Schizosaccharomyces pombe: one gene and its partners. Changing the gene in region 3 together with the main gene of any one other region gives a genetic interaction. Each region holds a gene or a part of one and is shown on either strand. Other genes may lie near its edges. The genes, in order: SPOM_SPCC584.03C, utp16, SPOM_SPCC306.07C and csr102.

Evidence for each region.
Region 1: mutations in SPOM_SPCC306.07C (region 3) and SPOM_SPCC584.03C together harm fitness more than expected from each alone (negative genetic interaction), as found in Schizosaccharomyces pombe (one large-scale study listed by BioGRID).
Region 2: mutations in SPOM_SPCC306.07C (region 3) and utp16 together harm fitness more than expected from each alone (negative genetic interaction), as found in Schizosaccharomyces pombe (one large-scale study listed by BioGRID).
Region 4: mutations in SPOM_SPCC306.07C (region 3) and csr102 together harm fitness more than expected from each alone (negative genetic interaction), as found in Schizosaccharomyces pombe (one large-scale study listed by BioGRID).

What each region holds. Positions count from the first base shown.
Region 1 is NC_003421.2:1,530,811-1,536,414, reverse strand, and holds SPOM_SPCC584.03C (GTPase regulator), read left to right. Parts: upstream 1-1,562; 5' UTR 1,563-1,737; coding exon 1,738-3,393; 3' UTR 3,394-3,661; coding exon of another isoform or gene 3,662-4,070; 3' UTR 4,071-4,114; coding exon of another isoform or gene 4,115-4,207; 3' UTR 4,208-4,257; coding exon of another isoform or gene 4,258-4,289; 3' UTR 4,290-5,101; downstream 5,102-5,604. Other genes in the region: eRF3-like class 2 translation release factor sup35, read right to left, coding at 1-749, 833-962; Cu metalloregulatory transcription factor Cuf2, read right to left, coding at 3,662-4,070, 4,115-4,207, 4,258-4,289.
Region 2 is NC_003423.3:3,649,831-3,653,544, forward strand, and holds utp16 (U3 snoRNP-associated protein Utp16), read right to left. Parts: upstream 1,991-3,714; coding exon 1,953-1,990; intron 1,908-1,952; exon of another isoform or gene 1,887-1,907; coding exon 1,344-1,886; exon of another isoform or gene 1,200-1,343; coding exon 797-1,199; 3' UTR 531-796; downstream 1-530. Other genes in the region: karyopherin exportin-T Los1, read right to left, coding at 1-251; ubiquitin protease cofactor Nxt3, read left to right, coding at 2,477-2,590, 2,659-2,733, 2,850-3,714. UniProt on the Schizosaccharomyces pombe protein: Functions as part of the small subunit (SSU) processome, first precursor of the small eukaryotic ribosomal subunit that coordinates the first two steps of ribosome biogenesis in transcription of the primary transcript pre-RNA and pre-18S processing.
Region 3 is NC_003421.2:419,126-423,134, forward strand, and holds SPOM_SPCC306.07C (U3 snoRNP-associated Cic1/Utp30 family protein), read right to left. Parts: upstream 2,046-4,009; 5' UTR 2,011-2,045; coding exon 1,948-2,010; intron 1,888-1,947; coding exon 1,754-1,887; intron 1,575-1,753; exon of another isoform or gene 1,533-1,574; coding exon 875-1,532; 3' UTR 504-874; downstream 1-503. Other genes in the region: family protein BIG1, read right to left, coding at 1-194, 257-348; mdh1 (malate dehydrogenase), read right to left, coding at 2,578-3,603. UniProt on the Schizosaccharomyces pombe protein: Involved in rRNA-processing and ribosome biosynthesis.
Region 4 is NC_003424.3:586,183-591,303, forward strand, and holds csr102 (sec14 cytosolic factor family phosphatidylinositol transporter), read left to right. Parts: upstream 1-1,696; 5' UTR 1,697-2,742; coding exon 2,743-4,077; 3' UTR 4,078-4,569; downstream 4,570-5,121. Other genes in the region: pdc202 (pyruvate decarboxylase), read left to right, coding at 1-1,130; img2 (mitochondrial 54S ribosomal protein mL49), read left to right, coding at 4,885-5,064.

The DNA of each region.
Region 1 (5,604 bases), 1.1 Mb from region 3:
GCTGTCCAAAGCCCAAGAAAGATACCAACTTTCTTTACCAGCTTCTTTAGCTTCTCTCTCTATTTTCTCCATAGTACGCTTGTCAACCATACCAGTCAAGAAAAGAATATTACCACCCAGGGTAGACTTTCCTGCATCAACATGACCTATAAAAACAATATTGACATGTTCCTTTCCATACATATCCTTCAAAAGCTCTTGATCAACCTCATTTTGTAAATCGGTGGCATCCTCAGTGACAGTGGCGGGTTCAGCTGCCTCAGCAGCTTTCTTAAGAGCCGCTGCTGGAGCAGAGGGTGTTTTTGCTAGTTCAGCATCAGCAGATTTTGTAGGAGTTTCCTGGGGAGGAGGAGCAGCGGTCTCCTTCTTTGTTGACTCAGAGGTAACCTTGGGTGCAGGGGTCTCTGTTTTGCTTTGTGCAGCAGGTGCTGCTGGTTTGGTAGTTGTAGGAGCTTTTGTTCCACCAAGGCTGATGCTAATGGGCTTTGTAGACTTAGGAGCAGAGGTGTTTCCACCCAGGGACAAAACCTTTCCTTTGGGAATTGCTGGTTTAGGAGGCACAAAACTCTTCTTTTTAGAAAAATCAGGGACACGGCTTTTATCTTCATCAACAGTGTTTCCTGTTGGCTTTTGGTAGTATTGCTGATAACTCTTCGTAGGATGTGGCGAGTTGCTGTTTTGTCCTTGGCCTGTATATTGGGCATAAGGATAACCACCAGCAATATTGTTCACAGGTACAAATCCGGGGCCTAGCAAGAAGTTAATAATTTTTTTACTTAAAACAAGCAATCATCTCAAGACATATGGATGGTGTTCTAATTAAAAAACGTACGTTGGAAAGAAGGAATGAAGGGAGCAGCTTTAGGCGTAAACGTAGGTGCCTTTGCAGACATCGACAGTTTAGAAGTCTGCTTGGCGAGTTGCTCATCCTGTTCACCGTTATTTGGCTGATTACTAGCCATTTTTTGCCTTTATTAAAATATGTGGTAAAGGGACGGTGATGTTGAAGAGAATTTACACCACAGTATACACTGTGTATTCTTTTATAATATAATATTACGAGTACTTACGATGATATTATTAGCATCCTTTATATAAGCTTGTGCTATAGTAATTCAGTTAAGTTCATAAAATATTATATTTGAGTTTAATTTTACATTTGGTTGTAAAATCGGAAGCAACTGAATTGTAAATTGGTCATTTTCTCGCTTTTTTCTTCAGTAATACGCTATTATTGTCTTAAACAGGTAAAATATATTGACTTGCCTTGGGAGATAAAAAACAGAAACTTCGGTGGGCTTAATACCAAACACAACATTTATTAGCTATTGGGTTGAACAATTAATCAAAAGTTTTTAAATCTATTGGTTAATTAGTCTCCATTGTCACCAATAATCACTGCAAGGATTTTGTCATGGAAGAAACGATGAATCAGCGTTACAGCTTCAAAATATATACCAAGCAAGTTCCAAAAGATTCAATATGTAAATCCATTATATAATTATTCACTTTAGGATTTCCTTATACAAAATTCTATAGGCGTGTTTGGATATTAAACTTCTATCCTCCACATATCACTATGACTTAGCGCAAGTTCTATTTGGTTCTCAATTTACTACGCTTCTTTTTATTTCGTTATTAATTTGTTGTTAAAAGGAATAAATACAATTTGAATGACCATTATTTATTTGTTTAGCCTTGTTTTCTCTTGTGTTTTTTAAAGCCGCCTTTTTAGAAATGGATGAATTACTTAATGTAGCTTCTCATGCTGCGACATTTGCTACGAACTTCGCGTTGAAACATAGTATATCATTTGCAGGAAAATTAGCTGTTCAGCAAGTTAGCAGCTATATTAAACGTGCCTCTGCAGATGATCAAAGTGAATTGGAGTCTGTGAAAACTCAACTGCTTGAAATGATTCGAGTTGTGACGCCTGCTATCGAACTAATTGAAATAATGTCAGTCGGTGAAAATGAAAATTTTAAGAGTACTAAGCAATTAGTGGATTCTTTGCACGCTGACATCGAACAATTCACCAAGCATGTTTTAAGCGCCGCTCATTCGGAATTTCCGCCTTCCTCAGAAAAAGAAACTTTGCAGAAGAACGTTGATACGTCTATTCTTCGTGAAATGAAAACTTTACTTCTCAAAATTAATGATGCAGTTCCTCTCTTAAATCTGTCCATCACTACTTCTGGTGCTTCTATTTCATCTTCTCTTCCAAAATCTACTTCATTTTCCCAACTTCTACGAGCTAATTCATACATATATAGGGCGAATGTTGCATTTACTGGAAATGAACCTTTACAAGTTGGCCCCACATTTTTCCTGCGAACTTATAAAATTATAGATAACCACGCCAAGTCTGGTTATATAAGCAATGATTTAGTCATGTGGAAAGAAGAGATGCCTGTTTGTATCGCCAAAATGTTTCGCATGCCTCCTCAACGGTTGAAGTCCAAGGATACGGTTCTAGCCTATGCTTTATCTTTAAAACAATCTTTTGATGATGATCGTTACCATGATGAAGATGAGACTCCTGTCACCAAAACCATTTCACTAAATGATGTGCGCACGCTTTTTTTTAGTTTGTCCGGTAAACTTCTTCGGTTAGATGATGTACAAACTCCCGTATTATTACTCAAGTATGCAGATGATGAAACAGAGTATTCTTCAAATACAGCACCTTCGAACTGGATAGCTTTAGAAGCACTTCCTTTGGTATCAATACCTAATGAATCATTAGACGAATCTGATGAACTTGCAGAATCTCTTAGTGATTCTGAAGCTGCTAGGCTACAGCTTTTAGGCATCAAAAAACAAGAATCCGTTGCAAAGAAAAAGTCTTCCTTTCCATCGACTATAAAAGATCAACCTAATTTAACTTTACTGGAGTATTTGATTAGATTATGCGCGCTCGAAAGTACTACCCAAGAATCAGTTTTACAATTACCTGACGAACAAATTGCATTGTATCTTAAAGATTATCAAGGAAGAGAGAGGCCCCGAGATCCGGCTTCATATAATGCCTTAGAAAATCGAAGTGAACTAAGCGCCAGTCCAGGTTCAGTATCCTCCTCCAGACATTCTGGAATTTTTGCGACACCAACGTTTCTGTCACCATGGAATATTAAAAACATACCTCTTGTTACCCCTGAAGTTTCAACACGTCAAACGAAAAATGTTGATGAAGAGGATTCAGCTTTATTGATGGCTAGCCCTTCTGTCCGGAAGTCCAATTTACTTCCTCAGGAGGACCTCATTTCAAAGGATTCTGTGATTAAATTAAAAGAAAACCCTTCTGTTATTCCTCATTCCGAGCCTGAATCATCGTCGAAAGTTATCAACTGCCAGGCTAAATTAAATGTGGAAAAAGAAAAGAAAAACCCGTGAAAACTTTATCAGAGTAATATTGACGCTATTCAATACACAACTATTCTAAATTTCACTTCCCATGGGAAATCCTTGAAATGGTGTTTGATCCCCAGTAAATTTGAATACATAGATTTCTCTAATGTTATATGCACCTTTTTAGACGACCAAAACATTCAAATTACTTCATCTTTTTATGATTGAATACTTTATGTGAGAGTACTTATACATATGATATGACAATAACCTTCATTTGTCGCTATTTGGAATAATAACGAAAGTTGTGAATTCAAGGGATTCCGGATATATCGTCTTTGGAATGTAAGTACTTTGCGAAATTGAAAATATCGGCCTCTTGGTTTATGGTAAAAGAATCGTTTTCTTTTTCATTCAATTGACTTGCATCAATGCGATTAGAAGCATCTGTTAGTGAAAGAGGTTTCCTATATCCTAATATATCTTCACTGATGGGTAGTGTTCTTCCTAAATCGAAGGTGTAGGCTTGACTTGCAGGATTTAAAGAAGAATTCATAATATCTTTGTCGGTTGAAAACAAAAAAAGGCTAGCCAATATTGGGTTTTTCTGAGTGAAATTTAATAACTCCTGATACTCATTGGCGAAGGGTAGAAAAGGCTGCAAATGACAAACGCATTTTAAATTACTCTTAAGTTGTTGTTTTATGGCTCTGCATTTTTTGCTGAATTTCAAGTTAATATTTTTTTTCTGATCAATGTGACATACCATAGTAACGGCCTTCCTCTAGTTCGAACTTCTATCAGTGCCCTTTCTTGATGCTGGCAGGATGAGCCTCGATGACCTCGAAGGCATACAACACTAGAGTAAGTGTTAAAAATTTTATCTTATAACCATACAAAAAGTCTTACCAAGCATAATTCTTACCGTCAATAATGATCATGATTGAAGGTATTTGTGATTAAGGGAAAAGAAGACAAGTAGGATTCGAGTAAATAAGCTAGTCGAGGAACGTTTTAAATAAATTCCTCTTATACGTTCTCTTCCTTTAGGTTGATAAATTGTAAATGACAGCTTTTTCCCAAATTCCTTTTTCCTCGTCTCTGCTTTAGCTTTCTGATCCAGAAGAATTGCACAACGGATATTAATAGAAGACAAGACGAACAGCTAAGTGTTTTAAAATAATATACTTTACTTTTAAATATTTCCAATGTTTGTTGTTTGTCAAAAGTTTGAGTGCTGGCATAAATTATTTATAAGCTCTAGCTATGGACATTTGTTTACATATTATGGGATAAACAAATACATCAACTTATTGACACTAACCAACAATAACATACAAAATAGGAAGGTATTAAATCACTATGTTCAATGTTTTTGAGCACAATTTCGTAGAAAAGATAATTTTGATTTAATGAGTGTGCAAACTGATCAAATTGTGATTTTTCCTCGAGGCGATTTCATTCTATGTTTTTATGATTGCGTCAATTCTCTAAGCAGTTTTGCGATTTTCTGCACTCTAAACTTGTTAAATAACTTTTGTTTGCAAAAGGTACCAGATGCTATAAAGACTGGATTTTGTTAATATACTACTTTATATTATAACATATATGATTTTCAGATTACAAAACAGCTTAAAAGTTTGCAACCTAAAGACATAATAACTTTTTTATTGATTGCTCATTTATTTTAATTGATTATTATTTTTCAGGGTTATATCGAGTTACTTTGTTTTAATGTCAGGTTTAAAAAAATAATTAAATGAAAGTAAATGTAAAATGAGGTAGGCTTGTCAGACCCTTCAAATTTTTTTAAAAAAAATTGAAATATTTCTTTCAGAAAGGTATGATTAAACTCACAATTTTTTTCGATTTCAAAAAATCTTTTAATCAATTTGAATATTTGCTACCTACAAATATTGTCACATAATAGAAATGTAGACGAAGTGATTTCATCAAATTAAGGAACGTTCAGTATTTTAAAAAAAGATATGTAAATTCTACAATTTGTGACGATTTGGAGATGCTACTATTTGAAATGTAAATGTATTTACATAAATGTATATTTGCTGCTAGATGCTGATATACTGGGTATAATGAACATAATTACAGCACAGTACTTAGATGCATTTAGCGCACTATGAATAAATCAGTAAATATTGAATACCTGTCAATTTTCTGGAGATAAAACTAACTAGCTAAACTAAAATCATATAATGGAGCTTCTAAAATCAAGTACGTTGCTGAAATCGAACACAT
Region 2 (3,714 bases), on a different chromosome or scaffold from region 3:
ATCATCTGTAACTCTAACAAATTGCTTTCATTGTTCCATTCTCTAACTTTCTCACTAAGAGTTTGAAGGCAAATCAGTCTTGTTGATGGTTTATATTTCGTTTTTTCACTAAAAATTTCATGGCATATTTTCCAACCTGTAGATGAGCTTCTAAGGCTACCAATAAAATCTGTAGCTTGTTGCTTTATTATTGGTCCTACAGAAGGATCTAATGCTGCTTCTACTGCGTTTTCGACATCCTGGGCCGACATGGCTGCAGAGGTGAAGGTCAACAATGCTTTGAAGTGACAAAATTTTTGTGGTGCTAAAAAGCGAAGTTTGCCTAGTGCAAGTAGTCGAAAGTACAAACCATCTCAGAAATTTATATGCAAATATTTTATAATTATAAGTAGTAAATGTTCATACACTAGACAATTAATAATATATTTATGCAAATTTTGGCCTTATGAGCTATAGCTACTGATATCTATAATATCTATGATGTACGAAACGTTACATGAGCGAATTTCCTCTAGTGCATGGCAATAAATCCTTGATACAACTTTAATTAACTCATGTTTGTCTAAAGTGTTTATTTTTAAAAATACTATGTTAAACATTTACCAAAAAAACAGCCGTAAACTGCACTTAGCATGTCCAAAGCTTCAAATAATGAATGTTTTAGAACCCAGACAACCTTTTCCCAACCAATATTATTAATAAACAAAAAAGTAAACCCTTATATTAACAGAAAATGCAATGCTTGTGCCTGACTTTCAATTTACAGCGAATGTGTTGCCAAATAGAGAAAGGAAAATTAATAAGTCAAGGGACGTCGTCTTTTAGACGCCCGGGGAACTGATTGTCGATTTATCCAATCCCGTTTACGCTGTGACAGTTTCTTTTCATAGTTCGGCGCTAGTAAAGGGTCATTTGTTTCTTTAAGAACGCTCACTTTAAAATCACCTTTACGAAATGAACGAGTACGTTTTTTAGGAATTTCGTTATTAGGAAAAACAATTTTATGTCCTTTTGGAGTATATAGGTCAAGGCTTGCTTCGTCAACCTTTTCTTCGATTTCCGTGGTACTATTAATTTCTTCAACTTCAGCTGCCTCAAGAATAGCCAAATCCAACTTTGATGCGCTTACCCGTTGGGCATTTCTTTCACGATTTCTTTCATTTTGCAGTCTACGTTTTTCTCTTTCAGCTTTTCGAAGCCTAAAATGTGTTAAAAATAATACTATCAAAAGCAAGGAAACGAAATGAGCAGTCGAACTTTTATCAAACAAATTATTATTCTGTCTCAAACCAAAACAAATAGTATTTTTAAGTGTTTCCCTCATTCCGTTTATTAAAACTTACTGTAATTCATTCCCTTTCAGACGTTGAAGTCTCTTTTTTACCTCATCGCTGCTGCTCTTCAGCGAAACTTCTTCAGGTGCTTCATCAGAATCACTGTCAGATGATTGATTTTGAGAGTAGTGTGAGGCTTCATTATCTTCAATTTCCGCTTTCAACAAATCATTTGGTTTGTTTAAATTTGAAAATGAAGGACCTTTGCTTGGGGCAGTCAATCTTGCCATTCTAGTATTTGACAAATTTTCAATTTTCGAATAAGTAATGCAACAAAATGTCTTTATCAGAAGTTTATACCTTAACAGACAAGTTTTGGATTTTAATACTATAAAACGAAGACTATTAAAGGATTTGAAACTTTTTTGACCTGAATTGGTGTAGGAGGAGGATAACTGGCAATGCGAGTGAAACTTCTTAATGCCACCAAAATGGCAGTGAACAAAATGGATAGGATAGGTACTTTCCTGAGTCTTACAAAATTTATCAATAAATAATTTATTTAAAGTAAGATACGTTGCAATTATAGCACTAGATTTTAACCCTTTAATGCTGGTAAATAAGAAGAAGAAAGTAATTTCAATTTTCGTTAATTAAATGATTTAAAGGCTCGCATACTTTCTTTTTAGTATCATAATTTTTCTAGACGATTGCATTTAAAGCTGTTAAACTAATTGACTTTTGGCAAAATCATTAGCAGGTTAATCTCTCTAGCACAGTATATAGTCGTATTACTATTCAAAATGTTTAGTGGTTTCCAATGAATTAACGTTTCTAATATAATCAATTTGCAAAACAATAATAGAAAGAAATATATGCAACTTTGATCTATGGTAAATCATATGATGTTTATGTTATTTGTTGAAATGAAAAACCAAACAATTTTCTGACCAAAAGGTCTCTCTTTCCATCAACTAACTTACTTATGCGAACAAGTTGAATGTAAAAGATCAACAGAAATATCGTTTAGTCTCGTTAAATCCAATTACGAAATGCTGTAATCACGGACATTGAAAGCAAGGAGATGGGACATTAAAAAGACCAACGCACGGAAAACATAAGACACGACCGAATTTTGTTTTGGGTCTTTTAGAGCCAGATTTTCTGTTCTTTGTATAGCTATTGTCACAGTTAAATAAAACATGACTGCGGAAAATGCCACATTATTAGAACCAGTTTTGGGAAAGGATGAGATAGGATGGATGTTCGTTCAAGAATATTATACATATTTAAATAAAGAACCCAATCGTCTTCATGTAGGTCGTCATAATTTACCAAAAGTTTTTTTTTCTTCAACTTGTGAACCGTACTAACTGTAATACAGTGTTTCTATACTAAAAAGTCAACTTTAATTCACGGAGACGAAGGCGAGAGTATTAGTCTTTGTCATGGACAACAGGTATGCTTTAACACAATTCTTATATGTAAAGTTTTTGAGGTTGTGATATTCTGCTTGCGATTTTCGAAACTCTATGATCGTTGTCTTGCCCAATAGTCATTTTATTAACGTGTTAGGAAATTCATAACAAGATATTGGACTTGGACTTTCAAAATTGCAAAGTACTTATTTCAAACGTTGACAGTTTGGCTTCTTCGAATGGTGGCATTGTCATCCAGGTCCTGGGTGAAATGTCTAATAAGGGGAAATTATCCAGAAAATTTGCTCAAACATTTTTCCTTGCAGAACAACCAAATGGTTATTTTGTTTTAAACGATATTTTCCGTTTTTTGCGTGAAGATGTTGAGGAAGAAGAGGAGTCACCTGATGCTGTTGAAAAAGAGAAAAAAGATGTTGCTTCTGAACCTTACGTAAATGGCGTGCAATCTCAAGAACATTTACCTTCTGCAAAAGAAGAAGGCCATTACCAGGATCCAGCTGCTACAGAAAATAATTTTGCCACAGCCGCTCTTATATCAAATGAGACCGACAGTCTAAATCAAGCTACTTTGGCTGTTCCTGAAGAACCCGTTATCCAAGTTACGGAAGCCTCAGTCCCAAGTTTTGTTTCTCAGCAGGAAAATCAGCTTCAAGATGAAGCTCTGACTTCAAACTCGAAGAATGCTGATGCTATAGGGGCTAGCGATGCAAATGTTGCTACAGCACCTAAATCTTGGGCTGATCTCATAGCTCGTAATCATCCTGATGTGAAATCCCAAGCATCAGTTAGTTCTACTGCGTCTACAACTGGTCAAACAGTTAAAGGTGTTAATGCTGACCAAACTCAGCAGCCAACAGCGCCGTACACTCAGAGTAATGAACTGTTGGAGACATCTGTATTCGTCAAGAACATTCCTCCCGAAACATCTGATGTGTCATTGAAATCTGCTATGAGCATTTTTGGACCAGTCAAGGCTATTGAGTTTGCTCGTCGCAAAGGCA
Region 3 (4,009 bases):
AGCTATAGGGTGATTGCAAAGAAACACGCTTTAAATGTTTAAAAGCTCCCAACTGAAAATCATTAACCTCAAGGCCTGGTTGATGTATAATTAAGGTAGCTGTATTGCATGTCGAAAGTGCCTCAATTGCGGCGTCAAAAAACATCATAGGGCAAGTGGATATTGAAGAATCATCGGATGATTTGGGGAGTTTGCTGTTTTTAGTTAGATTAAATAATTTACACAGTATAATGCCATCGATGGATGCAGGACATACGAGTTCGTAGAAAATAAGAAAATCGGCGAAGTATCTTTAAATGCTGATACTAAAGAAAAGCAAACTATAAATAAAATACTCCAAGAAAACATTTTGACACTAAATTTTCTTTACTTTGGACAAGTTTGGATGTTGTCAATTGCTTGAGCGTTGGAGTGGTAGAGAATAGCTCTATATACTACTTTCAGTATCTAAAGGTACTAAAATCCTTCTGAATGAACAAGCTACATATAAGCAGATAGATTATGTAAATATAACATGTTATTTACGAGAAAAAAATAATACTACAAAACACAAGACGGTGTAGATTTTGTTCCAAAATCATGACAATAGTCCATGACACTTGTTATACACAAAAACCCTTATTTATTACTCAGTCCAAAATACCCGTTTATAAAAGACGTGCCCTTGTAAATCCCTTTTGCTTTCAGCCACTCAAAGCTTTTTCACATAACTAATTAACATCGAAGGAAAGAAATGTATCAGAAATTTGAAACAGGCAAAGTCAAATGGTGTTTATAAATACATTGTCAAAACTCTTTCTTCTAGCCTTAGTAGAAAAATGGTAATTATTTTAAAATACTTTTTTTTTTCAATTTAGGAAAGCGAAAGTCAGTTTCACTTATTCCCTTTGCCTTCTCCAGAAGAACCCCGTTTTTGAGCACGCAGTTCACTTTTCTTAAGAGGTCTTGCATCTTGAATGTGCACAATGTGTCTTTTATGAGCAGCAAGATTGGTGTCACTAGTCCAAATTGGCAGAGAGGCACTGTCAGCTGTTTTAATCGCAACATTATCAATTGCAGACCACCCTTTCGGAATGAAATTAGTTAGCAGACACTTCAATACAGTCGTAATATTCTCCAACAATTGTTCATTGGTTTGAGTGGCCAAACCACAGAGAATGGTATGACTAGTGCCGGCAGATAACTTAAGATAAGTAGAATGAAGACAACGAGCAACTTGATTACGCAAAGTCTCTTTCTTTTGTAAAACAGAAATAGGAAATGGCTTAATTTTTTTCTGTTCAAAAACTTTCCCCATCAATAGGGGGATGTATTTTAATACACGATCATCAACCAAAAAAAGGTTGTGAGAGTCTCGTAGCTCACATTTTTCTCGGATTGTTTTATACTTTAATTTCAATCTCGGGATGCTAAGTACTTTTGTAATGACTTCGTCAAGCCCTTGTTGCTCCACCAGATCTTGATATGTCTGCTGTGAATCTTTCACAATCAAACAAGCATCTGTTACATGCATTATCCTGTGCGGAAGGAATCTGTAAAATAGTTAGTACCTTATAATTTTAATGAAGAACACGCATCGATTCTATGAATGTTACAACAAGCTTGATTTATTAGCAAATCAACAAAACCGTAATACCTCTTTATTTCTGCACAAGCAGTAGAAGCTTAAGGTTTTAAGTAATTATAAGAACAAAAATTTTATTGTTGATCTTATTACTTCAGGAAACTTAATTCATCATTAATGCTCACTTACACTTTTGATGGTCTTCTAAGCGACTCTTTCTCAACGGGTTGGAATGTATTAACCTGAATATAAACCTTTTCTTTTTCAATAGGTTTATCAGAGGATCGAATGTGCTGCAGCAGGGCTCTAATTGTTTTCTCTAGCTATTGATTATTTGTAAGTAAATTGCACGATAATTTGAAATTAAAAAAAAAATTTCTTACTAATTTTATGTCAATTTTATCCAATGACTTTAAATTTTTCTTTTTTTCACTTGTAATCGCCATTTCTATTAAGATGTAAGTAATGGATGGCTTTTTGCAAGTTCAACTTGGGTTGGTCAGAGAAGTTAATATTACAATGCTATTGAAAGTTCTGTAGCATATCATTATCAAAGTTTAGTTTGTAAAGAATTAATCAAAGAACAATTGTTCTGTCTTATATGCCATGGCCTTATTAAATTGATGGCTTTGAAACGATACTAGATAAATAAGGCCAACAACTCAAGAACCGCAAATGTCGAATGAATGGAAAACTTATTATCTATTACTTGTTTAACAATTTTCTTTTAGTGGTTATTGTAAATTTGAATCATCGCTTTTCGCAAAACTCCGCATATTGAAAACCCTCATCTATTCGACTGTAAAAACGGAATTCAATAGATATGAAATTTCTATACAACCGCACATATAAAAGGAAACCTTGTAACATAATTTTTACATTCATACCTACACTATGAATGCAGTATACAGATTACTTTTTGACTAAAGTAAAAGAAATAACACACACGAAAGAAGCAAGAGAAAACAAACATTCATAAAGAATATCATATCATTTCTGTTATTCATAAAAGATTATGCTACAAATTGCTCACCCTTCGTAATGCTCTTTTTCAGCTCACCCAAAGCTACCTTAAGAAGGCTCTCCTCATAATCATTGATTTTACCAACAGGGTGAATGGTGTCAACCCCATCCTTACCCAAAGTTACACGAGAGGCAAAGAAATCAATTCCTTGATCCTTGTACAGAGGGGACTCCACAAAGGTGCATTCCTCAACGCCAGACTCACCAGCCAAAGCACGGAGTACGGAGGAGGCCATACGAGCACCGGCATAGGCCATAGACAAGGTCGCACTTCCAGCACCAGCCTTCGCCTTTACAACCTCATCACCACCAAATTGGATACGGTGAATAAGTGCGTCACGCTTTTCACCAGTCAATTCAACACCGCCTTGGGACAACAAAGGTACGATGGTCGCACCGGAATGACCGCCAACAACAGGAATATGAAGAAGTTCTGCCTTGCCATTAGTGACTTGAGAGGTGAAACGGCTGGCACGAACAGAGTCAAGTGTGGTGACACCAAACAAATGTTTGGGTTGATGAACGCCAACACGTTCTAAAGCCTTTTTAAAGATGGGCACAGTAGAGTTTACGGGGTTAGTGACAACGAGATATTTGGCTTCGGGACAAGTTTCACCTGCTGCAAAAGCAAGGTCCCGCACAATCGATGCGTTAGTAGCAAAGAGATCATCACGAGTCATTCCGGGCTTACGGGGAACACCAGCAGGAATAATGACCACATCAGCACCGTTCAAGGCTTTTTCAAGTCCCTTGTCATCAGGAGCATAGCCAACAACATTGGAAGTGGTATTGATATGTCCAATATCGGCAGCAACGCCAGGAGCTCCCCTAATATCGAACAAGGCCAATTCACTAACCTTATCGTTCAGTTTTAAAAGCATTGACAAAGGCTGGCCAATACCTCCTCCAGCACCCAAAACGGCTACTTTGAATGCGCGACTGGAGGTCGTAGAAAAAGAACGGGGAGCGATACTCTTAAGGGGAGTAAAGTTTTTGAAAGCTACTTTGGCAAACATCTTTGAAAGGTACAAATTCGCAAAGCAAAGTAGAGAACACGGGTATTTAAAAAAAATAGAGAGAGTGTGTGTGAGACAGAGAGGGGGGTAAAAGAAATTTCAATAGAAAATGTCCAGTTGAAAGGTTGATTCTTCTTTTCTTCAGAAGATACTAGACACTATATCAAAAGTTAGAAAAATTTGTTGAAAATAAAATATGTATATATATGCAAACATGAGTAGCCGCATCCTACACCATAACGTTTATACGGACTGACTAGCAAAGCAAAGCTACTCGACATCCTGGTTACAAACAAACTCCTCATGCCGATTCTAAGCATAAAAAAGCATATGCGTATAGCATCTCTTATAAAATATTCCTTCAGAAAGTCCTGTACCTAGTGACCTCGGAGAAACGGGTACGGTA
Region 4 (5,121 bases), on a different chromosome or scaffold from region 3:
ATCCAGCAGTTGAGCAAGAAGTCATCAATCATATCTCGGAAATGGTTGTCAATGCAAAGAAACCAGTGATTTTAATTGACGCTTGTGCTGTAAGACATCGTGTCGTTCCAGAAGTACATGAGCTGATTAAATTGACCCATTTCCCTACATATGTAACTCCCATGGGTAAATCTGCAATTGACGAAACTTCGCAATTTTTTGACGGCGTTTATGTTGGTTCAATTTCAGATCCTGAAGTTAAAGACAGAATTGAATCCACTGATCTGTTGCTATCCATCGGTGCTCTCAAATCAGACTTTAACACGGGTTCCTTCTCTTACCACCTCAGCCAAAAGAATGCCGTTGAGTTTCATTCAGACCACATGCGCATTCGATATGCTCTTTATCCAAATGTAGCCATGAAGTATATTCTTCGCAAACTGTTGAAAGTACTTGATGCTTCTATGTGTCATTCCAAGGCTGCTCCTACCATTGGCTACAACATCAAGCCTAAGCATGCGGAAGGATATTCTTCCAACGAGATTACTCATTGCTGGTTTTGGCCTAAATTTAGTGAATTTTTGAAGCCCCGAGATGTTTTGATCACCGAGACTGGAACTGCAAACTTTGGTGTCCTTGATTGCAGGTTTCCAAAGGATGTAACAGCCATTTCCCAGGTATTATGGGGATCTATTGGATACTCCGTTGGTGCAATGTTTGGTGCTGTTTTGGCCGTCCACGATTCTAAAGAGCCCGATCGTCGTACCATTCTTGTAGTAGGTGATGGATCCTTACAACTGACGATTACAGAGATTTCAACCTGCATTCGCCATAACCTCAAACCAATTATTTTCATAATTAACAACGACGGTTACACCATTGAGCGTTTAATTCATGGTTTGCATGCTAGCTATAACGAAATTAACACTAAATGGGGCTACCAACAGATTCCCAAGTTTTTCGGAGCTGCTGAAAACCACTTCCGCACTTACTGTGTTAAAACTCCTACTGACGTTGAAAAGTTGTTTAGCGACAAGGAGTTTGCAAATGCAGATGTCATTCAAGTAGTTGAGCTTGTAATGCCTATGTTGGATGCACCTCGTGTCCTAGTTGAGCAAGCCAAGTTGACGTCTAAGATCAATAAGCAATGAGCAAGCTATTGAGAGTGGAATTGGCAAACAAAGTTTCCTTTGATTTATATGTTTTTTATGATAAGCCCATTCAATTCATATAGTCTTTTAGTATAATGATTAGTTATTAAATTTATGTTTAAAGCAACTTTTTAGTTTAAAATTTTTCAAGTCAAGTTAGGGTGTACGTAAACAAACAATACCTTGGAAGCAATGAATGAAAAGGTAGAGTTAATCCAAACAATGTGGAAACCAGTTTCCTTGCATCTACTTACTAGTTTCGCAGAAAAATTGCTAAACTGCTTAAAAGCCAACTTTAACATTCTTATTTCTTACATAGGAGCTACCGTTCCATTCACATTGTGATATGCTAAGAATTTATTAGTTTTACAAAAATTGGGTGATTCTACTATTTAATACAGTGGTTTTGTAACGTAATGAAATTATAACGCTCGTTTATTACGATTTCCTAGGTAATGTAGCGGGTAAAGGCAATTGACTGATATTATGTATCACTCTATCACAGCAACGGACGAACGGTTTGCGTTGTTGTTTATAAATGGTTCTGCAACGCAGCTTCTGACTTTGACACTCTACACCACACCATACTTCAGCGCTCTATTCTTTCGCATAGGAAGGTAAGCTGCATTTCGTGGCGTTTGGTACCTTGAAAAAATATATTTTGGTTAATATTCGTTGGCTTTTTCTTTTAATTCTTGCTACTAATTCCAAGAATTGTGTAAGTATAGGAAGAGGCTGTGTTGATCGGTTAGTTTCGTAATTTCGGCATACTAGTGATTCCTAAAATACCGACTACTAATAATTATAAAGCTTAGATCACTTCTTTGGCTAAAGTAATTAAACCAGGAAGTCTTAAAATTCCGCTTTTTAGCATCCTAAAAATTTCCCCGTCATTTCTCAAAAGTGTTAAACGCGTGAATGTTCTCAAAGCTCTGTTTTCTTTTCTTTGCTTTTTGAACGGCTTTGTCTTTGCATTAATTTTTGTGACGCGTTTTGTGCCTCCAATAGGTAATTAATCTAAATCCGTTTAAAAAGTTGTAGGTGACTTTTTATTTTATTACGTTTTGCTTTCATAAAAAAATCCATTTCCTTCTGTGCGTTGCATATTCATTAATATATCACTTTGATATACATTAAGGTGAATTAGAAATTATTGAGCTCCTCTCCCTTTGTTATTATTTCACGCTTTTTCTCAGGCCCACTTATAGTCCTCTGAGGAATTTTTTATCTTTTTTTTTAAAATACCAACTCAGTTTTTGTCGAGTGATTCTTCTTTTTTATTCATTCATTCGGTTAACTAAGTTCCCTATATTATTTTGTTTTCTACTACAAGCATTACGTTTTGTTTTTCAGTGAGCTTGTTTCGCATCTCTGACCAAAAGGAAGCAAATTGACGGCTAGTGTATTTTTGACTCGTCACATTCTTTTGTCTATCTTTGCCAATTTTTCAAATTATTATATATCTTCGAGATTAACCTCCATTCTTTAGGCTTATTCTCGTAATTTCCTTCTCAATTGAGTTCAATTTTATTAATATTGATTTCATCTGATATATTTTTTCCTTGGACTTTTTCTAGATTATATTTGTTTGCGCGCAATTTACTTATTAAATATGCCTGAAGGAGCCGGTAGACCGTGGAATCTCACAGAACTTGAAGAAGAGAAGTTGAAGACTATGTGGAGTTATTTGTTTAAGCTCTTCGGCATTACTTTACTCGAAAGAACTGAATCTTGGTACACAGTGAAGACACACTTATCTGATGATTCAAGTAGTTCCTCATCACATCGTTTAAGCAGCGTCTCATATGCGAAATCCCGTACACGACTTGAACTAACGTCTTCATCTCATGGCTCGGACACTCGCAGTTTTAATGATAAAACCAAAAATGTGCATTTGGAAAGAGTTGAAAAAATTGCAAGTGAATGGGACCCGGAAGGGCTTAGAGTTTGCTTTTGGGATGCTGTTAATTGTGATGATCCTGATGGCCTTCTACTTCGTTTCCTTCGTGCTCGAAAATGGAACGTTGAGGCTGCGTTGGAAATGTTCATGAAAACCGTTCACTGGAGAAGTAGAGAGATGAATGTTGGTGAAATTGTATGTAACGCTGACCACCTTGATAAAGATGATGATTTTGTGCGTCAACTAAGAATCGGAAAGTGTTTTATATTCGGTGAAGATAAACACAATCGTCCAGTTTGTTATATTCGCGCACGTCTTCATAAAGTTGGTGATGTCTCACCCGAATCGGTTGAGCGACTCACAGTTTGGGTCATGGAAACTGCTCGTTTAATTCTCAAACCTCCTATTGAAACTGCTACTGTTGTTTTTGATATGACTGATTTCAGTATGTCCAATATGGACTATGGGCCATTGAAATTCATGATCAAGTGTTTTGAAGCACACTATCCCGAATGTCTGGGTGAATGTATTGTACACAAAGCGCCTTGGCTTTTCCAAGGCGTTTGGTCCATCATCAAATCTTGGCTTGATCCAGTGGTTGTCTCAAAGGTTAAATTCACTCGTAATTATCGTGATTTGCAACAATATATAAATCCTGACAATATTTTAAAAGAATTCGGTGGGCCTAATCCATGGAGATATACATATCCAGAACCCTGTCAAAACGAAGCAGAAGCTCTGAAGAATGTTGAAGCTCGTAAGAGTCTTAGAGCAAAAAAGGATGCAATTGCTAAACAGTACGAGGAAGTTACAATGGATTGGATTTTGAACAATGGTGACATGGCAGAAGTGAAACAAAAACGTCGTAAGTTAGCTTCACAACTTATTGATGCATACTGGAACTTGGATAAATACATCCGCGCACGCTCAGTTTACGACCGCATGGGCCTAATTGCTCCTCAAACTTCCCATACTTTGCTTCTTTCTCAACCTACAAATGGAGATGTCAAAGAATCAATGGTAGAAGTTACTAGCTCGGCAACTTAGTCGGTCGTAACTTTCAATATTCCTGCTATTTTACATTGTAATCCTTCCCCTTGCCTATACTCCCGTATACTGACTAATTGTACTTTCCCGTGTTATTCTAAATAAGATGCTGGCTCAAAATATGATTGTATCATCTATTAATGCATAACTTTCAAGATCTTTTATATCAATTAGTTACATATGAAATCTCTTTCCTACGTTGATTTTTACACCCCTTTTCGTTTTACCATTTCCTTATCGCTTTAATTTTTTAGCACTCTCTTTAATGCACTTAAAATCATCTAGAAAGGGATAACTTTTTTTAGGTCTTATGGCTTTTCATTGAAGTTGTTGGTCGCAATACTTATCCATCCATTTTGTCTTTATTAGAATCAATGATCAGTTTTATTTGCAAATTAACTTAGATTTCTTGCTATTTATTATTATTTTTTATTTTATTGTAGGAAAGCGGTTCGAAATTAAAAAAAACAACAAGCTGAACACCTAAATGCCTACTCCAAAATATAGTATTAATTTAATGAGTATGCACCTTCGCTGAAGTATATTCCGTGCCGTAAAAATACTTTCGAGTTTAAACACGCGTGAGGTTCAAGCACCGATTAAATTTATTTAAAACAAGAGCGTTTTATTTTATTTTAATTGTTCTTAGTGAATCACTTAATCTTAGGCTCCTGTTTGACAGTTGTTTAAAACTTACAAATTTTTGGAGGTTATGATAGAAATCCTCTTTATTCGCGAATGCACGACGACTTCTTTTACACATCCACCATAAATTCCTGCAACTCGTAGAAAGTTTTGTTGAACCAAATGCGATCATCCTTAAAGCCAGTGCTATCAAATTTGAGGTTCAACTCAACAATTGCATCCGAATCACTTCGGTTTCATGTTTCACGTACACCTTCAAAAAATCTCCCAGTCTATCTAGACTACAAACAACGAGGAACGAAAATTCTGACTTTAATTCGTAAAATCCATGGTGATTCTAATGTAAGTATACATATTCCGTCAGCAGTAATCTCTTGGCTAAAGAAAGTACAAGTAAAG